Linked DNA regions of Lonchura striata. The protein of the gene in region 1 interacts with the protein of each later gene in a pairwise test. Links are inferred from orthologs where the notes say so. Each region holds a gene or a part of one and is shown in the gene's direction. Other genes may lie near its edges. The genes, in order: UBE2N, LRSAM1, MID1 and AMFR.

The links.
Region 2: the proteins of UBE2N (region 1) and LRSAM1 interact in binary tests that used the Homo sapiens proteins (3 or more experiments, as listed by UniProt). The link is inferred for Lonchura striata from reciprocal best matches to the Homo sapiens genes UBE2N and LRSAM1.
Region 3: the proteins of UBE2N (region 1) and MID1 interact in a two-hybrid assay, tested with the Homo sapiens proteins (2 studies listed by BioGRID and IntAct). The link is inferred for Lonchura striata from reciprocal best matches to the Homo sapiens genes UBE2N and MID1.
Region 4: the proteins of UBE2N (region 1) and AMFR interact in a two-hybrid assay, tested with the Homo sapiens proteins (2 studies listed by BioGRID and IntAct). The link is inferred for Lonchura striata from reciprocal best matches to the Homo sapiens genes UBE2N and AMFR.

Annotation. Positions count from the first base shown.
Region 1 is NC_134607.1:53,630,279-53,638,129, reverse strand, and holds the start of UBE2N (ubiquitin-conjugating enzyme E2 N), read left to right. Parts: upstream 1-4,836; 5' UTR 4,837-4,933; coding exon 4,934-4,963; intron 4,964-7,851. UniProt on the Homo sapiens protein: The UBE2V1-UBE2N and UBE2V2-UBE2N heterodimers catalyze the synthesis of non-canonical 'Lys-63'-linked polyubiquitin chains. This type of polyubiquitination does not lead to protein degradation by the proteasome.
Region 2 is NC_134624.1:4,617,218-4,624,855, forward strand, and holds the start of LRSAM1 (E3 ubiquitin-protein ligase LRSAM1), read left to right. Parts: upstream 1-4,634; 5' UTR 4,635-4,681; intron 4,682-7,638. Other genes in the region: RPL12 (large ribosomal subunit protein uL11), read right to left, coding at 1,611-1,616, 1,705-1,817, 2,215-2,301, 2,894-2,975, 3,605-3,703, 3,847-3,920, 3,992-4,028.
Region 3 is NC_134604.1:97,753,019-97,760,462, reverse strand, and holds the start of MID1 (E3 ubiquitin-protein ligase Midline-1), read left to right. Parts: upstream 1-4,440; 5' UTR 4,441-4,751; intron 4,752-7,444. UniProt on the Homo sapiens protein: Has E3 ubiquitin ligase activity towards IGBP1, promoting its monoubiquitination, which results in deprotection of the catalytic subunit of protein phosphatase PP2A, and its subsequent degradation by polyubiquitination.
Region 4 is NC_134615.1:15,556,566-15,564,155, reverse strand, and holds the start of AMFR (E3 ubiquitin-protein ligase AMFR), read left to right. Parts: upstream 1-4,573; 5' UTR 4,574-4,661; coding exon 4,662-4,883; intron 4,884-6,289; coding exon 6,290-6,382; intron 6,383-7,590. Other genes in the region: NUDT21 (cleavage and polyadenylation specificity factor subunit 5), read left to right, coding at 134-223, 883-958, 1,353-1,467, 2,701-2,722. UniProt on the Homo sapiens protein: E3 ubiquitin-protein ligase that mediates the polyubiquitination of lysine and cysteine residues on target proteins, such as CD3D, CYP3A4, CFTR, INSIG1, SOAT2/ACAT2 and APOB for proteasomal degradation.

The DNA of each region.
Region 1 (7,851 bases):
ACCTGGCTGTTGTAGCTCTTTTTCCTGCAGTAGCATATTTAGGAAATTGTTTCTTAGGAAAATAATTCAGGCTAGATCATTGGCAAACTGAATATAATACACATTTATTATTTTCATAGAAACCAATGTTTCAAAATATTCCTAGGAATAAGCATTTGGCTTCTTTTATTTCCTTTTAAACTGGCAAGGTACTACACAATCATACGTAGAAGTGGACCTGAATTTGTGAATGGATGGATGTGTTTCATTGCAAAGTTGTGTCTTAACAATGGGGATGGATGGGTCTCCACTCCTGAAATGCTGTATCTTAATTTCTATGAGGTTATTCCTATAAATGTAGAAATCAAATTTCTAATGAGACACTATAGTTTAGTTATGGTCTTAATTCTCAAGTTTTCTCAAGTTATGTTGTAGACAGACAGATTTCTGTTTTAAGTCAGTCTATAAACACCCAGAGAAAATATCAAGGCTTATGTCAGTAGGCCCTCTTTATTCTTTAGCATATCTCACACCATCTCATCACTGGTCCATCCTGTTACTGATAAGGAGGCAGCTGCAACTGTAAATAACATATGACAAAATGACAGTGCCTCAGCAGTCATATGTAGCCTAAATATTTTGTGTTCCTGTTGATTACCATAGTTCAAGGAAACAATATTGTCTCTATTCAAGCAGCCACTTAATGAAAAAAATCAAATATTATTCTCTACAATGAAGGCTCTTACTAGGATCCTGTGGGAACTCAAAATGTCTCTCAGACATTTTTAGAGGTTCCAGGCCTTGGTCAGAAGCATTCTAGACCCTGGCAGACAGCTGAAAAACAACTGTGATTTTGAGTTTGAGCCATGGAATGAATTACCAACTTTGGAGGTGGAACAAGCAATCACAAAAGGTTAGATAGTATAGTATAAGTAGTTACGAAGTAGAGGGGAAATTTTTTTAGTATTGTACAGGGGGGTTTTAGCACATGTACAGGGGGGTTTTCACTTTGTACATGGGGGTCAGAAGTTCTAAGATGGAGGAAAGTGGGCTGATCCCATCCTTCTTCCTTCTTCTTCCTTACCTCCATGTTCTTGGTGATGTTGGCACTCACAGATTGGTTTAGAGTAGAAAAACACTTGGCAACGTAGGTAGTAGGTATTGGGGAATAATTGTAAACATGTTATACGTAATATATCTTATAAAAGATAGCAGCAACCCTGGGCGGAGGGAGAGACGAAGAAGACAGCAGATAGAGAGGATGTCAGGGTGTGTGTGTGCCTCTACCCAGGCCACTGATCAAATAGCTGCAGTCCAAGAACATAATCTGTTAGATAACTAGCAATAAACTGCCTTGAGACCGAACAGCTAAGCCTGCGGAGTTTTTCTTTGGAAGCACGGGTTGGAGGAGGAATTTCACCACCACATGTGGCCCCAAAACAAGGCTGGGGTTCCCACAGGATCCCATTTTGATGTTCTAAGTTGGTAAAACATATAACTAGTGGTGTTTTTTTCTTCTCTCAGTACAGTTTCACCCAGTCCTACCAGTTTAGATAATTCTGAAATTGTCCAATGACACTTTAAATTACTGCTGAATGAAAAACACTGCACTTCTGTGGCTTAGTTTCCTCCTTTGTACATAGGCATCATAGCAACTCTTGTGGAATTACTCTGGGATTTACTGAACATTTTTAATATAAAATTTTGATATTACTGTGAATATTCATTCCGTATGTGTACATACATACATCTGATTTTTGCTGTAGAACAGATTTTCTACAATATTTGGCAAAAATATAGAAATGCTTTTATGCAAAAATAAAGAATCTGGCATTTGAAAGAGAGTTGTAATTACAGTAAAACTTCTATAAGATTGCAAAGAGGGCTAGGAGGAGGAAATAAGATTAGTCAGCCACAGGCTCAGCTGGCCTGGATGCACCCACTCAGTGAGTAAGTCTGGTAATTTGATGACAGCAGAAGCTGTGACAGGAAGATGGTCAGCAGCTGTATTGAATTGTTCTGGGTGTATTAATTAATTGCCTAATTGCAATTACTTCTTTACCTTCCCTGCCTATAGTAGCATTATAGAACACTTTGTTGGTGAATAAGGTGGTTGCCTAACTTTGTTCTTGGAACCACTGTAATTCCGGCAATGATGTGATAATCACAGATTTGTGGGAGGAGGATTGTGTTGTCCATCCTGGCTTTTGTAGTGGTGCAGTGGGATAAGATCAGCTCAGCCAACAGAACAGGTCACTGCTGCGGGAGGGGATGGTCCTACACCTGCACCTTCTCACTCGGTTTCCAGCTGCTTCTCTTGTGCCAGCTCTGATGCCTCAGTGAGCTGGTCAGAAGGGTAACTTAGCAAAAAAAAAAACCCAAAAACCCAACAACAACCCCCTATACTCCAGTAGATACATAGCAATGACAAGACTGGATCAGGAATGTAGAGCAGGGAAAGGGAGCTGGACCTCAGTGCTTCCTGCAGCTTCTCCTAAAAGCTGAGGGGCATCTAAAGCTAAATTAATTACTCATGGATACTACAGCATACAACTTCACTCCCACTTCTATTACCTTTTGTTGTCTGGGGCTTGCCAAACCCCAGTGTAAGACAAACCAATTCACCAGTCCAGCAAAAGACTACACTGAATGGCTGTTTTTCTGCCAAGTTAGTATTGCATCAGCTCAACAGAATGAACAGTGGGGAAAATGCTATGTGTAAGGAAGGAAGGTAGAAGGAGTGAGGTAGGAAAGGGAAGAAAGAAGTCCTGTTTTTAAGAGGTTGACTCAGCTGCTTGGTCTACCTTAACCTCAAGTATGTGCTTCCACACTATCCCTAGTGCAGGGGACTATTGAAAGTCCTTTTCTCACACCCTCAGGCATGGGTTCCAATCTTGTTTATGCTTCACCTGTAGAGCTGTGTGGCTGCCTGTGGTTCACAGCAGCTCACTGCTCACCCAGGAACCACTTGTGCTTTTGATCAGCTTGTCTTAGGTGAGAGATCATGGTGTGAGCTCAGGGAACAGCAGTGTGTGGCAGAGGAGGAGGGCAGCAGCAAAGCAACTAAAAAGTGGTGTGCCCTTGACATGAAACTATACAGTCAATAACCCGCACTGTGGAGGCAGGCCTTGGTGGAGTTGGGCTGTAGGAATGAATGCCCATTTGAATGGGGACTACAGGTCCCCAGTCTACAGTTGGTATTCTGGAGTAGCCAGTTTGGGTGGCTTTTCTAGCCCAATATGGATACTCGGATCTCTGCAGCAGTCCTTCTAGGAGCTAAAATAGCTTAGGGGAACAATCTAAATTTTTGTAGATATGACAACAGAAATCAATGTATTTGTTCACTGCCATCTCCTGATCAAGTGGACTTCAAAAGCCCTTTCATAAAAGAAGCCAGAAGGAGATGTATAATGAAAACTTCCAGGATGTGACAAACCACTTGTGCAACAAAAGCTGTCAAAACATAATAAGCCAGATTGACTTAACTGCAACTTCAGCTGACTTAACTTCTTGCTTCAGCTGTAACTTCCAGCTGAAGCAAGATTCCTGGTCTACAACACTTGAAAGGAGACACTGAATTCAACACCAATGAGCATTTATTTGAGCCAACTGTGTTCCACTCAGTTGTTGTGTCTTACAGACTTTCAAGAAACTTTTGGCCCATGCTTTCTTCCATGTATGCCAGTCCTTTAATGGAATATTCTGGGAGAAGTGTAAAAGAGAAAAAAAAAAAAAGGGGTGAAGGCAGAAACAAAGAAAGAGAAGTAATTCAGTATGCACTGTAACAAAATACATCATTTTCCAATAACTTTTGTCTTGAGGGTATGGACCAATGAAGATGCTTTGAAATCTAAATAAGTGTTGGAGTCATGGAGTCTTTCGCCTAGATTTGCAATTGCCAGAGAACTTTACTTTCTACCAGAGTACACAGAAATTATGTCCTGTTTTAAACCGGAAGAAAACACTTGATAGGGACTCATATGTACATAGGGTTCTATTCTTTGCTGTGCTGCTGACCTGCTGAGCAACCTATGGGAAATTAGTTCATCTTTCTGTGCTTTTACTTCCCATAAATAATGACATACATTCTTAGATGTTACTATTACTATACATCCGTAGTAATGTCCTAGTATGCTCGTGCAATAATTATACTGCAATGTTTACAATATTCCTCTTTCTGCTGAAAAAGAACAAAGGTTTGCTAACTAGGTGTTATTAAGACAAAGATCACAGAACTGTTAGGGAAGATCCTATTTCCACCTTCCCTGCCCAGGCAGGGTCACCAGGAGCAAGTGATACAGCAACATGTCCAGGTGGGTTTTGAGTATCTCCAGAGAGGGAGATTCCACAACCCCTCCGGACAGCATCTTCCAGTGCTTTGTCACCCTCAACATAAAGTTCTTCCTCATGTTGAGATAGAACTTCTTGTGTTTTAGTTTATGGCCATTGCTCTTTGTCCTGCTGCTGGGCACCACTGAAAAGTCTGGCACTATTCTCTTGATACCCACCGCTGAAATATTTTTATGTATTGATGAGATTCCTTCTCAGTCTTTTCTTCTCTAGACTAAACAGGCCCAGCTCCCTCAGACTCTCCTCGTTAAGAGAGATGTGCCAAACCTCTCATCACCTTTGTGGCCCTTTGCTAGACTCTGCCAGTAGTTCCTTGTGTTTTAGGCACTGATGTTCTAAGGTAGCTTTGAGACAGGTTTAGGAACACTCACAGAAGCTAAAAGTCAGGGACGAACAGACGCTTGGCGCTGACAGCGCACGGCCCCGCTGACGGCAGCTCCTCAGCGCCCATGCCGGGCGCGGACCCCACACGCCCATCCCTGTATCCTACGTTTCCCGGCGCCACGCGCGCAGGGCGGTGCCGCAGGAAGCGCGGCGCGGGTCTTTCCGGCCGTGCGCGCGCCCCGAGCGGAGGCGCGCCCCGAGCCTGCACCGACGAGACAAGATGGCCGGGCTGCCCCGCAGGATCATCAAGGTACGGCCGCGCGCCCTGCCCGCCGCGCGCCGCTCCGCCATGCCGGCCGGGCGCGCCGACCGCGCCGGGCCGGGGTCCGCGGCCGAGCGCAGCGCCGCGCCGGGCGCCGCTTCCGGTGCCCGGGAGCTGGGCCGCGCTAGGGCAGGGCCGCCTCCCCGGCCTCCTCCCGCCCCTGCCGGGCGAGGGGCTCCTCGCTGCCGTCCCGCCCGCGCCCCCGCCGCTTCCCGCCGCCGCCGCGGGACTCCCCTCGCGCCGTGTCGGCGCGCGCGGGCGGCGGGAGCGGCCGGGCCCTCCCGGCGGGCGCGGGCCCGCGCCCTTCGCGGGGATTGCTCGGGCGGCGGCGGCGCCCCACGGCCCCCGCTGCTGCCGAGCGCTGCTGTCTGCACAGCCTTCGGGGTCCGGAGCTCGAAGGACACCGGGCACATCCCCCGCTGTCTTCCGCCGACCCAGCGGCTCCTCACTGGGGGCTTCCGCCAGGCCCCGGCTTCCCGGCACAGCTCTAGGCGTGCTTGGCCCGGGGGAGGGCGGCGGTGGCGCCGTGCTCGGCTTCCTAGTGTGCGGTGAGGGACGAGCCACAGCGAGCAGTTAAACCTGGCCACAGCTGTGTGTGCGTCGGGACATTGGCACCAGTGGTCCACGCTGGGACAGCCCGGTTACTGCTACGTTTGCTCGGAGCTGTCGGCCCTTACTCTATCAACGTGTCGTGCTGGTGCTTCGGTATCATGTTTCGACTGTGATTTGCCAAGCTTTGCAAGGGCTCTTAACTTTGGGGTATTTTCAGCAGATCCTCCGAATTCGGTTCCAGCATAAGATTTGAGTAATTTGGAGACACTTATTGGTAGCTGTATTGCAAGCTATCAAACAGCTCGGTCCTGTAGCTCACGTGGTTGCTCCTGCTGTGCTGCTGTCTCCTACTCGATTTGTAATGGTGTGAATTGAAGCCCCTGAATGGATGATCATTCTCTTTATAAAAGTTATTAAGTGATTCCATTAAGGTTGGTTAGCCCTCACAGGAAATGACAGCATCCTCATAGCCTGTTACAGTGAATGGATGTTAGTTTTTAATACTCTGAAGCTCTCTCAGTTGGTAAACACTGTAAATAAATTAATTTATAAAGTTTTAAATAGTGGACAAAAAAATACATTATTTTTGTCCAAGAAGTCAAGTTATCAAGTAGGTGATAGAGATGATGAGGTAAAATAAGGCAGTAGTGTTTGTCTTCTGTGAAATGGAGCTAAACTACAATTAGTGCTCAGAATTGTAAGTAAGTAGTAAAAATAAAGAAGACAAATCTTACTGATTTTGATGCCTATCCAGCTGTCTGAGTGCACACCATGCTAATCTGAAGTATTTCAGGTGTGATAGGGAACAGTGATTCATAATACAGTGGAACTGGTATTTATCACAGAGTTGCAGTAAGAGCTCAGTCATGAGGCTGGTGTCTGCATTAAATTTTCATTGCTTTTGACAGATCCCCAGAATACAACCAAGAAGTGCACTCACTTATGTTGGTGCATAAATTTTGTTCCTGGTACTTTTGTTTTCTTCATGCTTTTCTAGAAAAAAACGCTAGCGCAATTTACACAACTCACTTCAAAGATATGTGGTGATGTGGGACTGTTTGTTTTCCTCCTGGAGAAGAAAGGTGGAGAGCAAAAGAGAGTCTTAGAAACTCCAGATTTTCTGTGAAGGAGCCCCCTTAGACATATGATGGGTTGGGTGTTTGCATGTGTGCATTGGAAAGTTGTCTGCAGCCAGTCTAGAGTTATTAAATCTTGGCTTGGTTGTGTTAGATGATCAGCTCTTCAGCTGCTGTGCTGTGCGTGCCTTAGGTTGCCACATGTGAGTATGATCTAGGACTTGAGTCTGACTAGTTACTAGAGCCTCAAAAATGTGCAAAGTCATATCTTGAAATACCACAGCTGCAGAGGTGTGGACCCAGAAATACTCCTGCTTAAATCTTTGGGAGTCTTGAGTGAGAATTGTTTTGATCTTTTCTATCATGCCAATTTTGACTTTAGTGTTTAATTTCCTATTCTGGATGCCTTAGAGGGTGGGTAGGGAGTGAACTCAGTTGCTAATGAGAATTTGAAAGATCAGGATAGGAAAGAGCTGAGTAATGTTAAAATAACTCCAGTAAATAAAATGAAATCTTCATGCTATGCACAGTAATAAATTTCACGATAAATACATGGCTTAGGTTACTTTTAGGAAAAGATCTTCTCCCTTTTTGCCACATGCACCCTTTGTGTTGTCATCCAGGAGAGACCATCAATGGCTTCTTGGGGCTAGGAGATTGTATTTGGACTGTGATAAAGTCCTGAGCCTGGCTGGCTGCTCAAAATGCAGTTGGCATTCCCTGTCTTGAGCGACTGCTGGCAGATGGCCGGGCTCTCAGGTTGACTTGCAGCCCTGTACTCCTCAGCCTGCGTCTTTGCTATGTGCAGGCTGTCATCCAGCCCAGGAGGAGAGCAGGAGTTTTCCTTGCAGTGGCAAGGACTCTGTTTATGTTTCCAATACTTCAAATTCAATGAAAAGGTGACAGTATGGGTGTTTTAAAGCAGTTGTTGCAGAAGATACAGAATTATTCCCAATTTACTGTCCTCAGATTACTTAGAAACGGATTTTAATAAAGTGTGTGTGGGAATGGTCTGTAAGTTCAAAAGGTGACTTGCTTTAGAATTATGACTGTTAGCATATCACAAATGGTGAGTAGAAGACATTGATGTAGTTTTGAATCTTAAAAGACGTAATCAGAATTGGAAAACATTGTATCTTTTGAATAGAGAAGAGGTATTTTTGTTTTCTTCAGTAGTTCAACACCAGGGATCCTATGAGAATTGTCATGACAAAAAAACTATTAATGTAAGATAAAATGTGTTACTGG
Region 2 (7,638 bases), on another chromosome or scaffold:
CTCAGGCAGCATGGGAAAGGAAAGTTACAGGTCCTGTCCCAGGAGAACTCCCAGTAAGGAAAAGGAATCATTTTTCCAACTGTTTCCAGCACTGCCAAGTGGAGGGAAACCCACACAGGACAGCCCCGACAGCACGAGCTCCTGAGACTGGGGGTTCACACCAGACTGGATTTCCAACACCGGGGGCACAGAGATTTTAACGGAGTTTAAAGCAGAGCTGCTGCTGGAAGGGGCTGCAGCCTCTGCCAGGCTGCCCTGCCTCAGGCACCACAGGCGTTTGTGCAGCTTTGTTGTGGAATCCCGGGCAAACCTCAGCTGGAAGGGACCCAACCCTCCCCTGGCATCGCAGCCAGGCTGGCCTGGGGTGAGGATGGGGATCCCACTGCCTCTGCAGCCCCCTCAGCCTGTGGCCACTTGTCACACAAGGGTTTTCTCCCCCTGTACTTTTTCAGAATTTGTGCCACACAAACCCTTGGAGAGATGGGGATTGGGCAGGTTTCAGAGCAGGAGGAGCCACACCTGACCTATTCCAGAAGCATCCAAATAACTCCCAGCTTGAAACATTGGTAACATGGTTAATTCCAACAAAGGAACCAGAGAATCACAGAATTCCTGAGCTGTGAGGGGCCCACCAGGATCGCCCAGCCCCTGTCCCTACCCCCCAAAATCCCACCCTGGGCATCCCTGGCAGCGCTGGCCAAAGGCTCCTGGAGCTCCGGCAGCCTCGGGGCCGTGCCCATTCCCTGGGCAGCCTGGGCAGTGCCAGCACCTCTGGGTGAAGAACCTTTCCCTGATATGCAGTCGTTCCCTCAGCATGGCAAATCCCTGAATTTCACCTGTATTTTTTTTCCTGGCTGCCGCAGAGAAAGGCCCTACAATCAGCTGGGGGGAAACAGATGGAAGTGCAGAGCCACAAACTGTCCTGGTTTTGACTCCATCAGCTGCATGTGGAGCTGGGGACAGGGAGAGAGGGGCCAGCACAGGCCTGGAGCCCAGGCAGAGCTGCCCAAGGCACAGCCACACCAGGCAAGGACAGACACATCCCTGGGCTCATGGGATTCCCATGGCTGGGAATAGCCAGGTCAGGCTTTGCTCAGTTTTACTTTAGGAGTGAGGAACGTGCAGCTCCCCTCCACACTGACAGGGATAGTGACATGTCCTGGACAATGGGTATCTGCCAAGGCTCGTGGATTTGATAAAAATGGGTTTTTTTGATCATGCCTTTCCCATGTCACTACAGCCCCACTTAAGGCCCTGTGGCCCTCAAGTCACCGGGGCAGTGACCCAAATTTCATCAGGGAGCAAAGGACACAAATGGATCTCATTTTCAATAAACAAAGCTAAACCTTCTGCTCATTCCTCACCCCATTATTTAACAACCACACTTCCATCCCTGCCCAAATCCCTCTGGAACAGACATGGACACATCCCAGCAAAGGTGCTGAATTTCCAGAAGACAGGGAGAGATTCCCCAAAGCAAAATTCACAGCATGGGACAGGGACAAATCAAACCAACAAGTATCTGCAGACAACTGGGTCTTTATTTTAGTATTTAAAGTGCTACAAAAAATTGAAGGAGCCTTCATGTGGCAACTTCCTTTTCTGCAGTCTTAGCTCTGTTGGAAGAAGCAAACACAGCTCATTAGTGGAGTCTTTCATTAATTAGATATTGTACAGCAATTTGAGTCAGAGCTGGGTACTTACAGCTGGGCACTCGATGGCACCACTGTTGATATCATCGATGATGTCGTGGGGGTGTCTCCCATCAATGCTGCAGCCCACGGACTGGGCAGTGCCAAGGATCTCCTTGATGGTCCCTGAAGCAGCAGACACAGCTTGTCACTGCTCTCCATGGGAAAACATCTGAGGAGCTTACCTGGAGCAGCCTGGGCCAGGCAAGGTGTCCCTGCCCATGGCAAGGGGTGCAACTCAACAAGCTTTAAGGTCCCTCACAACCCAAACCAGTGTGGATTCTGACAGCTGCTCTCAGCTGTCCCTCTTCCTTCAGGGGTTTGCAGGCTGGAGCCTCAGGGCTCAGCAAGGAACATCAACTCCCTCAACCAGACCTCACACCCTGAACTCCCCGAAGAACACACTGCAAACCCCCTGTGCTCCTCCCCAGGTGCTGGGGCTGCCTGCTCCCTGCAGCAGAGCTCAGTTCAGCCCTCCCTGGCTGGCAGTGGAGCATTCCCTGCAGCCCAGCCCTGGACTCACCCGAGAGCTCCCGGGCCAGGGAGCGGTGCCGCATCTGCCGCGCGATGTTCACGATCTCGTCGAAGGTGACGCTGCCGCTGTGCTTAACTGGGAGGGAACAGCAGCAGTGAGGCACCTGGGCACTGCCAGCTCCCCCTTTCCCCTGGGAGCACCATTCCCAGCACTCGGATCACATGGAGAGCTGGGGGTTTGCAGCTCCAGCAGGGCTGCTGTCAGTGCTGCTGCCCCCAGACTGCAGCACCCAATTACCCCCAACTCCTCTAAGCTGGCATTTCTGCAGCTCCCCTGGCTGTGCCAGGCCCTGTGCTACAGCACAGTCATGGGGCAGGGGCCTGTTCTACCCCAGCTTTGCCCAGAGCAGCTGTGGCTGCCCCTGGATCCCTGGCAGTGCCCAAGGCCAGGCTGGACAGGGCTGGGAGCACCTGGGACAGTGGGAGGTGTCCCTGCCATGGCAGGGGTGGCACTGATGGGCTTTTAAATCCCTCCCAACTCCATACTCTCCTCAAACACAGAGCGCAGCTGATATGCATCTATTGGTACCCTGGCACTGCAGGGATGCCCAAAACAGCCTCATGTCCCCTATTTACCAGTTTGTGCTGAATAATCCCAGAGAAACGTACTGGTATTCCCCTTCTTTTACACCCAAAATATTGAGAATCAAACACAGGGGAACACTTACTGTTCTTCTGCTTCTTCCTGTCACGAGGTGGCTCCTTCAGAGCTTTGATAATCAGAGCAGAGGCAGAAGGAACAACCTCTATCTAAATACAAAAAAATTAATTTCCCCCGCCATTCTACATTACTATGGAGACACTCAATCAACCTGTTCATTATCTCAGCAAAGGTAATTGCCAGCAGTGTGGATTTGATCAGTTCCCTCGTACTCCAGGTTTTTTTGTGCTGCAGGAATCTGTTCCCAGGTTTTCGGCACAGGCCTCCCCACAAGCAGGAGAGGACTGCTTCCTGCCTGGGGCTTCCTCTCAGCTCACCACTGGAATGTACCAGCCACAGACAACAGAACAGGTACGGTGGCAGGTGGCTACAGAAGTTGACAAGATTTTAAATTATTTATTTCTATGCTGCTTTAAGGACTTTTTTTTTTGCTGGTTCAATGTTCCGGAAAAAAAAAACCTATCTGCAACAGGATGGAAGTTGAATTTTCTCCTCCTGCCTGACAAAGCCCCATGGCTCCACACACATCCCCCCACCCGCGTTTTAAGGTCTTCGCGGAAGACCCCCACACGCCCCATGTGTGGCACTCATTTTATCCACCTCGGAAGGATGAAGGGCTGAGTGGACCCTGCCGGGATCCGGGCCGGTGGCTGGAGCAGGCGGAGCCCGGCTGGGCTCCACGCCTGCAGCACCGGCCGGCCCCTGCGGCGTGCGGTACCTGCGCTTGCCTGTTCTGGATCGTCAGCTTCACCGTGATCCGCAGCCCCTTCCAGTCGCCCGTGGCCTTGGCGATGTCATCGCCCACCTTCTTGGGGGACTGAGGGGCGACACACAGGTCACACACGGCTCGGGTTAAAGCCGAGAGCCCCAGCGCTGCCCCGGCTGCTTCCCAGCGCCTTCCAACATGTTTCACCCTCCCTGGCCTCCTCCTCCCCAGCTCTCCCCGTCCCCAGCACGTACCAGCCCCAGCGGTCCGATCTTGGGGGCCAGCGCGGACGTGGCTCCGACCTCGCCGCCGGTGCAGCGCAGGTAAACTGCGGGGACAGCGCCGTCAGCCGCGCCCCGCGGCCCCCGCCCGCCTCCCGGCCCGCTGCCCGCCACCTACCCACTTTGATCTCGTTGGGATCGAACTTGGGCGGCATCGCGGCGGCGGATGGCGGCTATGGAGGCGGATGGAGGCGGATGGAGGCGGATGGAGGCGGATGGAGGCCGGAACCCAGGCCTTCTCGAGGCAGCCGAAAGACAGCCTGGGATGCGCGGGCCTAAGATATACCCGCCGAGATCTCGCGAGAGGCCAGGGAAATATGAATACCAGCCGAGATCTCGCGAGAGGTGGCGAGCGGGCCGTGGCGGCATCTCTGTAGATGTGCGTTTGTATTTCTATATATCAATCGATAGATAGATAGATAGATAGATAGATAGATAGATAGATAGATAGATAGATAGATAGATAGATAGATAGATAGATGATAGATAGATAGCAAAATGTGGACCATATGGAAGGGTGGCAAGGCACTGGCAGGGGCTGCCCAGGGCACCGGTGCAGTCCCGGCCCCCGAAGGTGTCCAAGGAAGGGCTGGCCGCGGCGCTCAGCGCTCTGCGCTGGGGCGGAGGCGGGGATCAGTCCCGGGCTGGGCTCGGTGATCCCGGGGATTTTTTCCCATCCCGGAGAATTCCCGGATTCCGGGCGGCGCGGTCCTCCGGCCGCCAGGGGGCGCTGCGGGCGGGGCGGGGCGCTCGCGGGTGCCGCTGGTCACGTGAGGCGGCGGTGAGGCGGCGATGGCGGCGCCGAGCGGTGAGCGGGGCTGGGCGGGGGGATTCGCTGTGGGACCCGCTGTGGGGCCCGCTGTGAGGCCCGCTGGGGGGCCCGCTGTGGGACTCACTGTGGAGCCCGCTGTGGGACCCGCTAGTGGGACTCGCTGTGGGACTCGCTGTGGGGGCCGCTGTGGGACCCGCTGTGACACTTGCTGTAGGACCCGCTGTGGCACTTGCTGTGGGACCCGCTGTGGGACCCGCTGTGGGGCCCGCTGTGGGACCCGCTGTGAGACCCGCTGTGGGACCCGCTGTGACACTTGCTGTAGGACCCGCTGTGGCACTTGCTGTGGAGCCCGCTGTGGCACTTGCTGTAGGACCCGCTGTGGGACCCGCTGTGAGACCCACTGAGGGACCCGCTGTGGGACCCGCTGTGAGACCCACTGAGGGACCCGCTGTGGGACCCGCTGTGGGACCCGCTGTGGAACTCGCTGTGGGACCCGCTGTGGGACCCGCTGTGGGACTCGCTGTGGGACCCGCTGTGGCACTTGCTGTAGGACCCGCTGTGGGACCCGCTGTGGAGCCCGCTGTGGGATCCGCTGTGAGACCCGCTGTGGGACTCACTGTGGGGCGCTGGGGCTGCGCCGGGCCGGCACCGGGCACCGCGGGTGCTCCTCGGAAGGGCTCCGGAGCAGGCGGCGCCCGGAGCTGCGCCGTGTCCGCGCGGAGCGGGCGCTGCCCTCGCTCACTGTCGCTGCTCTCCCCAGGTGTCGGGCCGCTGCCCGAGGGCTGCGAGCCAAAATCCCGACAGGGTCGACTCAGCCCTCCATCCTTCCGAGGTTCTGGGCACTCGGGCATGGAACGGCGCGGTAATGGATGAGGGAAGGGTAAAGAAGATGAGGAGCTTGGAAGTTGTGTAACCCTGGGAGGGGGATCCAGAGAGAAGAAGAGAAGAGTAGTGATGGTGAGGGAAAGGAAGGACTGAGAGGCTGAGCCCTGGTGAAGACAAGCGGAGATTCGTTCCAGGCATTGCCAGGGCAGGCTGAGGCTGTGGCAGCTCCAGCACAGAGAGCAGACGAAGCAGGACAACGAATTCCAGAGCTGCCGTTCAGCTGCTGCCTGCTCTGGGCCTGTTCCAGTGCCTGCAGGGCTGGCTGTGGCAGCCTGTCGGACAGCCAGGGCAGCCTGTGGCTGCCTGGTGACACCTCTGTCCCCAGGGCCAGGCAGCATCTTCAGGAGCCCACCCAGACGCTGGCTCACTGCTGCCTCACTGTGCTCCTGGGTGTGTTTTCCCAGACTAAATAAAACATCTCTTCTTTCCACACCCTCACCTTGTCTCATTACAGTGCCCAAATGGATTTATGGTGTCCAGAATGTTTTGAAAACTGAGGCTGCTCCCAGAGCTGTGTTGTTGTGTTTGAATTACAGTTAGTAAAATGAAATGTTTGATTTTCTTTTGCTGTCATCACCCCAACAGCTGCAGACTGGGAAACACCCAGAAAACATTGCTGTGCTCTTCCTGAGTGTGTGGCTACTCCTCAGGCAGAGCTGGTGTCTGCAGGGAGCAGGGGGATCAGGACTTGGAGTCTGTGGGTGCTCACTGCCTGCAGGGAGCAGGGGGATCAGGATTTGGGGTCTGTGGGTGCTCACTGCCTGCAGGGAGCAGGGGGATCAGGATTTGGGGTCTGTGGGTGCTCACTGCCTGCAGGGTGGCTGCTGGCCTGGGCACTTACAGGCAGTTATTTCAGTAATTTAATAAATAAAAATTAAAATTACATCATATAATGGTCACATGCCAAGGGCCTTTTTCATTCCTGGCTGCTGAGTTTGATGTGTCTTCACTAAAGCAAATTTCCACTTTTGAAAGCTGTTCAATCCATTTAACAAGTCTCTGATCCTTCATCTTGTGATGCCTGGAACAATTATTTTCCTGTTCACTGTCTGCCCTTCAACCTTCACATCTTTATCCATTTCCTTGGGTGAAAAGTGATGATTTCCCACTGTCCCCATGACCAATGAGATCTGGCTGGAATAGGGAAAAGTGTAGTGGGACAAGGGGATGCAGAAATGTTCAGCAGAGTTGAACATGGTCATCCATTCAAGGATATTTTATTGCACCTGTATTTTAAGGCACTTTTGCCTTCTGCTTTCTTATCTTGAAATCTCCTTTTGTTTGTGCCTCTGATGTCTTGCCCTTGATTCTGCCCTGTGTTTCCCTGACAGTCAGCTTCCCTTCTTGTTCAATTTGAGTTCTGGCTGTCACCTTCCCCCCTGGGAGCTAGGTCAGAGCAGCATTTCAATAATTAATAATCAATAACAGTGTGACCTGGTTAAAGAGGCAGAAATTGGGCTGGCAGGGACAGAGCCACAGAACTGCTGGAGATGAGTTTGTAGCCACCTCCTGCCGTGGCCCATGGCTTGTCCCAGTGAGTGCTGTGACAGCAGGACAGTGACTCAGGGTGCTCTGCCTCCTTGTTCCTGCGGTGAAAGCAAGAGAGATGAATTATACTGAATTATGTTACTTTCACACTGAGATTTATCTCTGTAAAGATTTGACAGAGTTTTTGGAAGAGCTCTCCCTGCTCAGGGAACATCCCTGGCTGGATCCTGTCAGTACCTCCTCCTCAGGAGCCTTTGAGGCCAGTTTGCAGACAAAGCTGGCAGAGAACATTTTATGTGCAACCCCTGAGCCCTGAGTGTAGCTGTGCCAGTTGCTGCTCCACTGGTGAAGCAGTGCCTCTTTTGTGCTGATTTGTAATTGCTTAGGAATTGTAAGCAGTGTTTTAAAAAGTCACTGCAAGTGTTTTAAATGTTACTGCCCATTCAGGGCTCGCTGTTGCCCTCCTGCCCTTCTCTAACTCCCAGTCTCACCTCCCAGCCAGGTCCCTCTGGAGTCCCTGTCCAGGTGCAGCCCCAGCTCAGGCTCTTTCTGCTTTGCCCATTTGTGCCCCCTGGTCCTGTGCAGCCACAGATAAACCCCTTTTTCTCCTTGATGTCATG
Region 3 (7,444 bases), on another chromosome or scaffold:
AGGCTGTGGAAGGTGAGGAGGCATTTTTCCTGGCTGTACAAGAGATATACCCCACTGTCCAAAATTGCAGTGTTGGTTTATCTTTGACCAGCATGCCACATCTGCCAAAGCCTCTGAACAGACACTCAGAATGTGTTTTCTTGCCAAATTTACAGAGAACTTCTTTGTTGCTCCTTGTATCTTATTGCTGAAGGAGTAATGAAGATTTAGTGTTGTGCAGGCCCCATGCTGTTCTTTTACTTTGCTGTTTTAATTTTGCTCTTCTATTTAACTTTAGAAAGACTGACATATTTACTGAAGTTTGCAGGCTGATGCACCAGCATTGGCTGATGCACTTTGAAGTTCCAAGCTAGACATCCTCAGCTTCACACACACCCCTAATGTAAACCCAGCTGCACTGCTGAATCCTTGCTTTCATCTACTCTGGTACAAAAGTGAGAGACAGTTTAGGCTGAACCCATGGAGATCAAACCCCAGGGATATGCTATTAGATAAGCCTTAACCAAGTGAAACTTTGACTTCGGTAACATTCTTGCTCAAGTGACTCTAATCATCAGAGTTTTTAATTTCTTTCCCTTTTTACCCAATTATGGGTTTTTTACTGTGTTCTCTCATTGCTACTTCTTCCTTCCTTCTTGCCTAGTCATTCCTCTTCCAGTTTGCAGAGTTGGTATCCCACTGCTTTCTCAGAAGAAAAATCTGTCCAAGTAGATAAAGAATAGCCCTGAAATTCGACATATATGTGTTATATGTGCATCAATCATTAAACAACATTAATATTGAATAGTAAACTTTTAAAATTTACTGACTGTGTTAAGGAGCTCATTAAAAAGTGTACTCTTAGATCATCTACTGACTATGGAACTCATATTCCTCAATCAAATCCTTAAAAGTCAGTATCTTTAATATGTGCATTTTCTTCTGTTTATAAAGCTATGTCATCTCCAGATGATCCAGATGATCTTTAAGGTCCCTTCCAACTTGTTCTATGATTCCATTTTCTACACTTGCCTTTAAGAATTACTGTGAGTTTAGGGTAAAAAAAAAAAATCAAAGAGCTGCAGTAGATTGGACTAATCAGAGTGCAGTCACCAGTGAGTCTCAAAGAGCTTAGGAATCTTTAGTTTTGCTAGAATCTTTGCAGTGCAGTTGTCTGCACCACTCTGCTTGTAGGAAAGATTCTTTGAACTGTTCTTATGATTGCTATTAAAAGTGTATGGCTGTTATCCAAATGAAAGCCTTATCCAAGAGCCTTATGCTTTTTGTTAATCCTAGAAACATGGAAAGTAGTAAATATTGTGCAAAAAAAAAGTGCTTTGGACAGATTATACAGATAAGTGGACATGGTTGTGAGCAAGCAGAGAAAAACTTATGGAGCAGAGTGTGCAAACCTGCTGTGATTTCCTAAAACTCAGATGCCTTCAGATATTTATCATGACTCTGAAAGCTACAAGAATGAGAAAAATGAGCTCTTCCAAAATTTTGGTGCCTGTAGCTTTTGTCCCATTGTGAATTTCTTGTTCCTCTACGCCAGCTTCCAAGTACAAAGGTGGCTGCATTTTTCATGCTTCATTCTTCCTTTTGATCGGTAGAGCTCATCTCATTTGTGCATAGCACAGTTAACCACCTCCTGGATGGTGCAAACATTTTTATTTAGAGCTAATGTATTTATATCAATTGGTCTGTGAAGAGGCCTTATTGTTTCTAAAATGTTTAAGGTACTTCCTTCTTTACAATGGGAATGCTCTCAGATTGTTAGGGAGAAGCAAAGAAACAATGGTGGAAGTTTAGAAGCTGTAATTGGGACATAAATGGTTCACAAGTACATCTTTTAAAACCTCTTTTCAAAGGCTGAAATTCATACCACATGACTTTCACCATGCTAGTAGCCCCTAAGTCCCAGAATGGGGTCACCTAAACCAAGAGTGTAATTTTAAGCTGGTTCTTAGGAAAAAAAAAACAAACCCACAAAACAAACAAAAAAAAATCCCACACCCAAACAAACAACAAAAACAAACCAACAAACCAACCCCTAAAAATTTTACTTGAATTGATGAAACTCGATAATTGCTGATATTACATTGCATAAATCTGTCAGATTTTGACTTTTTTTTGGAATATCAATAAATTTCTGTCTTTTGTTTGATTATCTTTCAGTATCATAAGTTGAGTTCTACCTCACAGATAGTCTAATTCTATTCAAATAAAAATATTTGTAAATATGGAAACACTTAAATACTGTTCTTTTGAAACAAAGTGCATCTTTTTGAAAAGACCATACAATTTTTTGGAAGAATGAACAGGAGCTCATCTTTTTTGACAGATTGTGAATATCAAATCTCAAACTAGAAATAATAGAAACATAATTTGTGTTACAAATACATACCATATCAAGCTTAATCTCAAACATGGCCCTGGTTTCAGAAATTGTCTTCTGGAGCATGAAAATCACTGGCCAAGGGTGAACTATTCTGGACAGAGACTTTGTTGAGGCAAGTCATTTGGCCCCAGTATCCACCTGTAAAATCAGAGGTCTGATGCCCTCCAGTATTCATGATGAACCCATCAGATCAGATGAATAATCAGAAAGAAATACTGAAACATATTAACAACCTGTCCTCTGCTCTAAGGAAATCAGAGGCCAACTACAGGCATTAGGATGTTAATGAGATCAATGTGGAGGTGGAGCCTTGCATTTCAGAGTTCATACACCATCTTCCTTTTTCAACCTTTTTAATGGAAAGGTAATTTCTTCATGAAGAGTTCTGTGAAATCTGGGAGGATTTTTATGTGAAATATCTTGTAAAAGGATTTCTGAATTCATTTTAGCAGAGAATCTGCTTTCAAATACTGAATTTGCAGACACCAACTTTAAGATATATGAATCCTCTGATGCTTTATTATGTCTTTTAGGTAATAAATAAAAGACATCACATTGCAATTGTTTGCCTCAGATTACTGCAGTGAGACCTTTGTCCAGTAGAGAATTGTTCAAGATTCATGGTTCAATAATTGAATTAGCACAGTTAAGAAATAATTCACAAAAGTCACAGTCAAAGTGTTCTTTGTTTATAAATGAAACAAACAAAATTCTTTCTTTCCTTCTTTCTTTCCTTCTTTCTTTCCTTCTTTCTTTCCTTCTTTCTTTCCTTCTTTCTTTCCTTCTTTCTTTCCTTTGTTCTCTGGTGATGTTGTTATTTTCTTAAACTAAAATATGTTTGAGATAAACAATTTGGATTAATTCCTCCTCTTGAAGCCTTTTCCTTCTGCCCTAACACCCGAACTCCAAGAAAAGTGGAAACGGATTCCCTTAAATTCACATTTTTGAGGTAGGAAAATGTGTTCCAGGCATTTATTGCATGTTTGGTTCACTGTTAAAATGACTCTGTATGGTGGAAGATTCTCCTCCTGTCTCCTCCTTCAGCTAAGCAATAATGGGGGGACAGGACTGTGAAGTCACAACCCACATTGTGAAAAGAGATCGCATCCATCAAACTGTCACCTTGGTTTTCTCTCCAGGGTCACAGAGGAACAAAGTCAGCTTGTGTCAGGTTGAAATAGCATTGGTAAGTGTTAGTGTGTGTGAAGCTGGTGGCTTGAAGTCTATTTATTTTGTTTGAAAGGCTCAAACAGCATGCTGCCAAGCAGAAGAACAGGCAGGAGGAAGTCTCCTTATAAATTATTACTGGAAGGCTCGCAGCCAACATTTAAGATGTGAAATTATGCCATCTGCTTTTCTAGGTCTTTGATTTACTTTGTGGCAGCTGCCTGTTTCTGAGTACTTTGCATCTTGTGGAGCAGTAAAACTTGTGCTAAGAACTATTATGACAACTGTGTTTCTTTAACAAAGATTTAATACATTCTTGAAAAGCAGAGGCTATGCAGGGATGTTATCTCAATATCTGTCTCATGTTTTCAAGATAATTTGTACTAAAAAAATGTTGTCTCTTTTTACATAAACTGGAAATGAAGATAGAATCCTTCTCTTATTGTGAAAAATGCAATTGCTTGTTTTGATTGTAGCTATCAGAAGCATTTCAGGGAGGCACCAGTGTTTTTTTTAATTCGGTGCCTCATAATGCTATTGATTTTGTGTCTGTTGGGATCTCTTTTTTTATAATTTTGGTATTGATTTTCTGGGGCAACATCTTGGTTGGGTTTTTACCCTGTTTGAAATATTTAAGATTTATTTGCGTGTTCTTTGTGAAAAAGAAATATCTAAGGCCCAACAAGAGCATTAGGAAGTCACGTGGCTAATTTTAAAATAAGAAAAAAAGCCTAATTATTTCAGTGCAGGCTAACTGAGATGCATGCCGGGGACTCTGGCGAGCACCCAGGGGTGTTCTCATTTGAGAAGAGAGTGGCTGGGAGGGCGATGGCTGGAGAGGGGCACTTTTCCGTGCCCGGGGCGCTGCGCCCCAGCGCCTGGCGCGCTGTGGCTGCGCTCCCCGGGGATGCGGCGGGGCCGGGGCTGAGCGCCGGCAGCATCCCGCTTCCCCCACCCCCGGAGCATCGCTCCTGCTGGAGGCGTTCGGTGCGGCTGCCTTTTCCTGTGCGAGGATTAGGGACTGGGAGAATGGCTTTGTGAGGAAGCTCGGAGAGTGGGAGCTGAAGAGAGGCTGAACAGAGGGGCCGAAAGACTTTAGCCTTTCATAGTTCTTTCAGTCAGTTCATTCTCAGAGACCAATTGCATGCGATACGGCAGCTGGGGGTTTTGTTTTCCTTTCAGCTGTGTACTGTAGGAGAAGCTGGTAAGGTTATTTTTTTTTTTTTTTCCTTGTTCTACTGTTCCGTGGTGCTATTGTAATTGCTTTATCGAAGCGAGTGTCTGGTGAGGAAGGGAAGTTGGTTAATGATGCTGAGGGTCCCTGCATTGTCTCTGCTTTGTGCAGCTGCAGTTTGGGGAGAGGCACTGTTTACAGTGCTGGGGCTGCTTTCTGCTGAACAACTTTGCTGTTGTTTTTCCAAAGTTGTTTGAGCCTTTCTTTTGGCAAAGTTAGGAAAATAAGCAAATAAACAGACTTGGCTCTTTGGAAATGGGTAAATTTTTAGAAGCTGCAATTTGTTGAAAAATCTGTTCTGCCTAATTCTTAGTTTCAGATGTTCTTGCTTTGATGTTATCAGATCTGTTACTTTGCTGAATCAACTCCAAAACTGGGTTTTATGTGAGAGCCTTTCTTCACAAATCTTTTCATGTTTTCAGCAGGGCCAAGATAAATTGATAGCCAAAGAAAACAAAACAAAAATGTATCTGTGGAAGGTGAGAATACTTGAGGAAAGAATAAATTCTAGGGGAATTCAGGAATTTAAAAAAATAAATGAAGAAGCCTTAATTCTTGGCAGTAATTTTTAGCAAAATATCAGTGTAATGGGAAGCATGTGCTTAGGCATAGACTAGAAATACTCTTTCAGAAGATCCAAGATGTACAGGTGCATATCCTGTCTAACTGCACCCTTCCAAAGGAAAAGTTAATATATTTATCAACTTAAAGGAAAAAAAAAAAAAAAGTTAAACCAGAAGATCCTGGCTATCCTGTTCCTTTTGTTATTTCTAGAATAGTAACTTGTGTTGCTCAGAATCTTTTATTTCCTTTCATATTATCGTGGGAAAGTTTAGCTTGAATTGGTCGGACATACGTGAGCGCAGCTTGGGGTACACCATGCCTATTCCACAGGCAGGCTCTGAAAATCCTGCCTCTGACTCAAATGAATTGTAAAGACCAAAATTGCCAACAAAAGTTTCTTTTGTGGCCATTCAAAAATCACAAACAAGGTAAGAGGGAATGATTGACAACAGTTACGTTACTGATTGACAGAAAACCAAAAACTTGGTCTGTGACTTACTATGTTAGTTTTTCAGGAAGTGTTGACCTTTTTCACTATTATTCTGTTCTTTCTGATGGACTATTCCCAACTCCTCTATTGAGGCTAGAATGTCTATCTAAAATGTGTCTTTGTAATTACTGCCTATAGTCTGTATGTCTCTTTACAATGATATGCTTATTTGTTGATACCGAAACAAAATTGAGAAATGCATTGCAATCAGACCTCCATGAAAGAATGTGTATCTTTTATATGCCTCACATGCTTAGCTATTGATTTCAGCTACAGATTTCACTCCTATGAAGTAATGAAGTGCCCCATCCAAATCCTGCAGATTTATACTCAGTTCTAGCTGCTAATAATGGAAGGCCTAAGGATATCAATGTGGTTACTCATGTGAGTAAAGATTTGGAGACTCATTTCCCATTCATGAATGAAATGGTTTGGGAAACGCACAGTTACTATGGTTCTCTTTTGGCTTAAAAACAAAAATCTCCACAAAAACAACCACTAATGAGATCTGCTAGAGGGACCCAAGGATAGAAAAATTCAGTGCTTTAACATAAGAATGTAGTATTAATATGAGAATGTGACAGTAGTGTTTTAGGGGTTGTAATAAAATTTTCCCTCTCTCTAGCTTATTAACAGCTTTAGAAGGAAGGGAAAGTTAATTAATCTCTTTGTGTTGCACCACTAGATATGGCCATGACTTTTGAAATACCACCACAACTATGAGATACTCCTTACATTAAAAATAAAATTTAATTTAGGGTGGTCTTCATCATGTACTTGTACCTATTCTTGTGATAAGTGTCAGTCCTAGCAAGTGACAATAAACTGGTATTTCTGGTTAGGCTTCTCCTGGTTGTTTGTAGGCAAAGGTACAATATCTCCAGGGTACAAGGTTTATTTCACATCCTTGGTTTCACTGCAAGTGAACCAGAAGCAGGATGTCCTCTTTGTATATACCAGTTAAAGATCCTCAGTTCTCTAAAAGAGAAATTACTCTGGTTAAGTGTTTCTGAACTGTTCAACAGCATCCTTTAGTTTACAGAGATGAAAGAGATGTATTTGCTGCTACTTCTTTCCTAGTTTTTATGAATTCTAAATTTCCAAACTGTATTTTGGAGAAAAAACAGGCATCTAACTTAACAGAACTCACACCTGATTTTATAGCTCTGCATGGTAAAGGAACTATACTAAAATTATTTTGCCAAACAGTCCCAAAATTACCTGTCTGAAAGAGAGAATTTTCTATCCCATCAATTTTTAAAAGCAGAGATACATGGACTTTTATATGGCCATTATTGTTGGAAAAGGGCCTTGATCACCACCAACATCACATGCATAAAGAAGTAAATCTTGGCTATAAATGTCTTTTATTAAGTTAAAGCAGAACAAAATTCCAAAGGTAGAGGGAAACGCATAAGCAAACGTAACATTCAGTTATAAAATTAGAGCAATCTAAATATGTTTCAGCAGTCATTAGCTATCTGCTGTTTGTTACAACTGAAAGGTCTGTGCAGATCAAAACAGTAATATTGCTTCTCAAAACACATAAAAAATTGTGGAGGTGGACCTGCCACAGTGGTGTTGTGCTGGAGTTTGGTGATTTTTTGGT
Region 4 (7,590 bases), on another chromosome or scaffold:
GAAAGCTGTCTCAGAGCAGTTATGAACTACATCAGACATATATTGCAGTAAGTCTTTCTGTTTCTAGTATGTGTTTAATAAAAGAATTTCCTTGAGGTAGTTTGAGGTCTGATTAGTACTAGATTTTTGATAGATACTGGGTCGTCAGGATGGTGTTCAGCAAGACTGGGTGATTGATGACTGCATTGGCAACTGGTGGAGACCAAACTTTGAACCTCCACAGGTGAGTACTCCCGTGGGCTTCCATCTTCTTTGGTCAAGTTCTGTCTGTACTTCTAAAAGCCTTCAACCTTCCAGATGGGCTTCTTGAGTACCTGCTGCATGAGCAATTTGTTTTTCTGGGTTTTGTCTATTTCATCTCCTTTCTATGACTGAAGAGAAACTACAGCCTTTTTTTTTAATGGAAATTCCTGTCTTCCTTCTCACACCTGTCCTGATGGATGAGAAACCACTAGATGTAGTAGCTTCCAGTTCTACATTGAGACATATGCACCATTTATATTCCTTTTGTAGCCACAATGGAGATTCTTGTACTGCTGCTTGTGGAACATGCCCTAGTCTCACTACCCTATTTCTAAGGGCTTTAATATTGAAAATCTTTGTTTAGTTTGCTTAGTTTGCTTTTATGCATTTCTGTTTTATTGGGTTGTTTTAACTGCTTATGATATTGATGCCACTTTAGAGCCTGTCAATAGTTGTGACAGCAACAGCATTCCTTTCCTAAGTACTTTCTTATGAAAATGGTTTTATTTGATGCCATGAAAGAATAATATATGACACACTGAAAACTTGTACAGGGCTTGATAATTTATAAAGTAGCATTTAAGATTACATAGTATTTTCAAAGCTCTGTACAACTGTTTTTTACCATTTTTCTTCTAGTATCCATATATCCCAGCTCATATTACAAAGCCAAAAGAACACAAAAAGCTATTTTTGGTCCAGCTTCAAGAAAAGGGTAAGTGTTTGTTTGGATCAAAGGGTTGTATTTGTAACAATATTTAAATGCCTGCATTTCACTCAAGGAACACAAAGTTGTGATTGTGTATGTTGTGGTATGTTATACCAAGATGTGTATGCTTGCAGTTGTTTGTGGTTGATCACTAACAAAGTTAAATGCTGGTATTTGTTTTGAAGGTAGATGATCCTTTGAACATGACTTCCTAGTAAATTTTTATTCCTGCTTGCATCAGTCTGTGTACAGGATGTGAATCCCATATTTAACTAAAAAAGCAATAAACCTGGTTGAGTGCTCTATGTAGTGAACTTGTTTTGAGGTCTGTGGGGAATGATGATCCCTTGGCTGAATGTGTGCTGGTTTTTTTGATTCATCAACTTGTATTTGTTTTTAGCTTTGTTTGCAGTCCCCAAAAATTACAAGCTGGTTGCTGCACCACTGTTTGAGCTCTATGACAACGCACCAGGATATGGACCTATTATTTCCAGCCTTCCTCAACTTTTGAGCAGGTATGTTGTATTTGTATAGTGGCTCTGGGAACATGGTTTCCTGTGGGACACCAGAGCAAAGCAAGGTGCTACAGAAACCAACTTGAAAAGGTGGCATCTATCCCAAAGATTCTGCTTCAGATGAACTGCATGGACACTTTTGAGGCACTGATCACAACTGGCTAGCACCAAAGTCCTACCTAGCAGCTGTAGTTAAGGAACACATGGAAGATGTGAGGATGAGGCTGTGCACAGACTGAGGAGCAGCTTCTTGTAGTTGTTGGAGACAGCTGGAGAGTTAAAGCCAGGATGTAAATTTGAAGCACTGAGTTAGGTATGCATATTATCACAGCTTTGTGCTGGTTAAATGTGGTGGGTTTTTTTACACTCTTTAGTAGAGCTAATGAAGTGTAGCATCTTTATGACACAAATATCTGTAGGGACAGCTGTATTTTTTCCTTTCTCTTGGAATGTATACCATGCTTTGACTTTATTACCTGGGAATGGCTGTGGCTTGTCTCTCCAGAGCTCACTGGTCTCTTACTTGAGAGCATGTTCAGGCATACTAGGAGTCCCACAGCCTGCCAGCTCTTCCTCAGGGAAGTAGTTCTGTCACCTACCTACTATGATGAAAAAAGTATGTTAGCACTGGTCTTGCACATAATCTTATTTCCTGCTGAGTATTTTTCTCTCTAGCCCAAATTTTGGCTTCCCCTCCTCTAAAGACAGCAGGTATTTCCTCTTGAGTACCAGCCAAACTGTCATGCAGGTTGGGTAGTGGTGCAACAGACACATGCAAAGGCTGGGCACCTGGAAGCTGAGATGGATTGCTTGCTTCCACAGTTATTTATGAAACTTAGCTGGGAAAAATTCTCTCTTCAGTATGTTTGTGTGTTCCCCTTGGAACATGTAAGGTTGGTCTAGTAGCAGAAGTGCTGCAAAAGAGTTGCTGATGGAGGAATGTAACTCTCACTGTGATTTATGTATCTGTGACCTTGTTTTAGGACATGAAATGTTAATAGTTAGTTCTTCTCAAACCATAAGAGACAGTTGTGCAATGCTAGTGTAGGATTGGCTGTTAAAAATGATATATATACTGCTATACTGTAAAGCTGTCTTATGAAAAAATGTACTTTTGTCCTGTCAGGTGGAGGCTTATCCAGAGCAAAAACAAAACATTTGCTTATTCATTCAAAAATGCCCTTAAAAAAAAGAATCAAAATTCCTCACTTGGTATAATCCTTTTAATTTTAGGTTCAACTTTATTTACAACTGAGTTCCTATATACCTGAAGACTCCAGTAGAAGAAGCCGTCTCTGTGAGCACAGCTTTGAACTGTAGAGAAACGAATATGTGTGACACAAGGATTTTTTGAAGTCTTTCTGTTCCTGAAGACCACTAAACATTCTAGGGTATGAACAGAGAAGTGAATTTCAACTGTTTAGCTAGAGAGATGGCAATGGGCTACCAGTGTTATAATCCCTTATCATTGTAATACTCACCAATTTTTTGTTTTGTACAACATTAAACAATATGGTTAAGATTCAGTTTGTCTTGGGTTTGGTTTGCTTTTTGTTGTGTTTTTTTTTAGGTTTTTTGTTTGTTTGTTTGGTTTGTTTTTCCTTCTGTTTATTAGTTCTTTTATTTTTCCTTATTGTCTCTTAGATGCATATTTTAAGCTTTATTATTTTCTTCAGGAATACAGATGATCTTGGAATGAGGAGGAGCTAAGCCATTCAGGGCCCATTCAGATGCTGGGATCTTTATCCGTGAGAAGGGAATATCCCTAGGATCAGGGAGAAATGAAATAGCTTAAGTGGATTCAATATTGTTTTAAGTCTAACTTGGAGACCAGAACTGCTTTTTTGAGGGAGAATGAGTACTTAAAGGCAAGCGTAGCCTTTACCTTTTTTACCAGAACCGATCGGTTTGTAACAGGGCTTGGAGGAGATGCAGCATGCATCTGTTCCTTCAGTGCCCCCTTGAGACAGTAACAACCCCAAAAATTCTGTTGGACTGGTCTGAGCTGCAGTTAAAATTGGGAAAGTGAGGTTAATTTTGTATATTTTTTCTTAGCTATGGGACAGAATTAGGGTCATGCTGAAACACTTAACCAATGCCACATGCAAGTGGTTCCATGTTATGCTGTCCTGTGCCGTCTCATCCTGCAAAAGATACCCACTTTTGCTTTTTCTCAACATTTCAGTTTCTTGTAGGCAGTAAATATCAATCTTTCTACTTCTGGGGATTTTACATGCTTGGCTAAACATAAAGTCCATTTGGATGTGACACTTCACAGTGCTTTTAGTCTTCCATAATTTTGCTTAATGAATGAGTCTTTGAAAGATTTGTTTCCAAGTTCTGCCTGTGATCAGAAGATGCACTGTTGCTTGTGCACTGTCCTCTTTTATGAAGGCAGGGTTGGAGAGCACCTGCTGCCAAGAGAACCAAATCTTGCCAAAGTGCTTGCTTCTGCTGCCATCTGCACTGGTAAGCAACGTACAGAACAATCCTGACAGCTTGGTGGTCAAATTGAAGCTGTGCAGTATGGCAAATGTACTGCAAAATGCTGGGAGAGTGCAAGGGCTGTTCACTTTGGTCCTATGGAAGGAAGGCCCAGACAGATGGTGAGTAGAATATATGGTTTCTCAGCTACCAGCTAGGGGAAATACAGGTAGCAGGAGAGTGGAAAACAGAATCTTTTTGCCTGTGGAAGTAAGAAAAGGCAGGTGGAAGTTTGGAAGTCAGATGCTGCAAGAACAAGGAGCAGAGTGCAGCTTTTGAGCCTTGGCACTTAAGAGCACCTTTCACCTTACCACACGGTAGTTTGCGAGACTAATTCTTGTTCCAGGCTGTCAGTGGAAGGGCGCTGCTCCTGCAGTCTCTACGCTCTCTCTGCCACCCTGCCTGTAGGTTTGGGGGCTCCCGAAGGCCCCTCTGCTTCCCCCCGGCGCGGCTCCGGCGGTGCGGCCGCTGTCCCGGGCGCGGGCGGCGCGGGGCAGGGCCGGGCCGGTGGAAGCGCCGCCCCGGCCGTGACTCAGCGCGCGGGGTGACGGGCGGACGCGGCGCCCGGAGCCGGGGCGGAGGGCTCGGGCCCGGTCTGTTTCCTTTATCCAGTGGGGGCGTCTCGCCCGGCCCCGGGGAGGGGCGGCGGGGCGGGCGTTAAGCCGGGGGAGCGCGCCGAGCCGGGGCCGGGCGTTCGCGAGGGCTCCGCGATGCCGCTGCTGTTCCTGGAGCGCTTCCCCTGGCCCAGCCTCCGCACCTACACGGCGCTCAGCGCCCTGGCGCTGCTGGCCGCCGGCCTCAGCGCCTACCGCGCCCTCAGCCAGGCGCCCGGCGGGGCGGCGGGCACCGAGCTGGCCGAGCCGCAGCGCTGCGCCGGGCCGCGGGCCCTGGACGTCGCCTACTACCTGCTCTCCGACAGCCTCTGCGTCTGGGTGAGCCCGGGGCGGCGGCGGGGCCTGCGGGCCTGCGGGGCTGGCGGCGGCCTCTGGGCACCTCCCCGCGGCCGGGGGCAGGTGGGCGGGCCCGGGGGGAGTTTCGTTATTGTTGTTTGAAAACTGCTCGCGGAATAGAGAAGGGGGCTCGGCTGGCTTTCCCCGGGCCGCCTCCGCAGCCGCTTCCCTTCCTGCCTGGCTGCGGTGGGCAGCGTTAGAGCCGAGTTCAGCCCGCGGCTTGTGCTGCTCTCCCCGAGCGCCTCCGCTCGTCCTGCCCGGGGGGCTGGGAGAAGCTGTCGGGAGCGTTTGCCGCGGTCCCAAGCGCTCAGCTTCGCCAAGCGCTGCCCGACCTGCTCTGCCAGAAATCAGAGTAAGGGGCTGTCAGGTACTCGAGCCTTGCTGCCTTTGTTTATTTCCTTTTAAATAGCACTGAACGTTTGGTAGGTAAGAGGAAACATTCTCACCGTTTAAGGAAAAGAAAAAAGAGAAAATAATTTTCTGTACTTTTTAAAACCCAGACCTCATAATGGCTCATGATTTTTGGCTCACTGATTTGCAGTTGAAATAAAGGCTCAACAAGGCGATATTGGATACCTTGCTGAGTTGTTGCTGTTGAACTTTTCATCTGTCTGTCACTCAAAGGTGGCAGTAGTTGGACATCCACTTCACAGCATACTTACTTGACCGAGGTGCTGGTTTTTAATATGCCATATATATTCATCCTGTTGAAAATTCGTCTTGCAGCCTTAAGAATCCTGGACAAGTGATGTCCTTTGGAAATGACAGGGTGAAGCTTCTTCATCATCTACCTTCTAGCCTTTTTAGTGTCCTGCTTAGGTCAAAAGTTAATTACAAATCCTTTTGTCAAATATGAGATAGCAGTTTTCCCAGGCCCATGTGCTCTGCTTCTTGCTACTTTGCTGTAAAGAAGTTTCCTAAGAAAGCCTCAAGCCGTGTTATTACGGAAGGGATATGTGCTATTCAGCATATTTTGAGGCAACCTCTGAATCCTCTTACTGTAACAACAGATTCAAACTGGATTTTTCTCATCTGCCTTATGTTAAACAAAAGGAGCATCTTGGTGATCTCTAAGCTTTGTCCCCATGTTCTTTTATGAAATTTTCTAATCTGTATGAAATAATTTGTTGTGAAGTGGTAGAGCAGTTTGTTGGCTTTACTGCTGTATCAAACTGAATGTGTTAGTATTTCTAGAAAAAAAAAGCTAAGACTTATCAGCTACTTCATGTGTCTTGGAAGAGGCCAGGCTTAAATTTCATCAAAAGAAAAGGCAACTAATACTGTTCTGTGAACAATGACAGGTTTTGTTAGACTTGTTCATTCCCCTTCTCTCACTTCTTCTAAATAGGGCAAAAGTATTTGTCACTGACTGCTTTATTTCTTTCCAGGTATTAGTGAACACTGCCTGCTGTTTTCTGATGCTGGTTGCTAAGCTAATCCAGTATATGGTGTTTGGTCCTCTTCGTGTCAGTGAGAGGCAGGTGAGACAGCAAACAAGGAAACTGAAACATAACAAAGTCACATGGTGTGATTTTCTATATGGAATTGCTGAAACTGCACAAGAAAAATAAATTTTACAATGGATGTCTTACCATTTGGTTAGCTAGCATATCCACAGCCACATGCTTCCGGTTTATTTTGAAGGGAATTTTTCCTGTTGTATTTTATAAGCCCCCAGTCAGCTTGAAAAATCCTGTGTCTTTAATGAGCTCTGTTAGATTTCTTACAAGCACACCTCACTTCAAAACACTTGTAATGTGTTCTTCTCTATTCTGCCTGTACCTGGCAGCACTTCTCCGTTGCATTTTGTAGCTGTCAGCACTGGCAGTTTTGAGTTCCCTCTTTTGTACCATAACTGCTGGAGAAGTGCTTTCCAGCCTCATACACTGAGTAGATGGTTTATCAGCCTGCAGGTTTAAGAGGCAGTAGGCAAGAAAATCCCCAGAGAAAGGAGGTGAGCAGGACAGAAAACAGAGGATGTTTAGTCCTGCTCTTGTCTATGTGAGAATGTTTGTAAAAATTCAGCAAAGGAACTGTGAAAGCAGAGTTTTTAAAAACAGGATCCTGCAGAAGATGAAAGCAGCAGCAAGACCTTGAATAGTATCTCTATATATATATTTTTAAAGCAAGGCAAATGCATAAGTTGCTCATGTAAATGCAGGAGCAGTGGTTTGGAGTGTGTTCACATATTAAAAAAAAAGTCTGTAAAAAGAGTTCCATAGGAGGAATCAGTCCATGATGATTTTTGGCATGCAGAACTGAGGCACACAAAGCCTCATTAATAACTGTGAATCCCTCAAAGCCTATTGCATTTGTAATTCATACCTTGTAGAGGCTCTGAGTGGTGTATTAAAACCAAGACACTATCAAACTGCAATGGGCCCGACTTTTTCTGCAGTCCATGTTGACTGTAAGGATGTGGAATTTTAACTGGTGATGGTTTCCAGGATGTTCTTTACCCTCTTAAAAACTGAAGTGAGAAGCAGTAGCAGTGTGGGTCCATTTGTGTTTAGACAGTGGGAGTTTGCCTCAGTTGTCATGTAAAGGAAAGCTGCTTATTAATACTGGCGAGCCCGAAACAGCAGCATCTTTAAGGAACTCAGGGCCTGTTTTAACTAAACTCCTGGTGATTTCATCATATACTTTAACAAAACATTTTGTTTCATAAATTTCTTAATCCCTTTCAAGC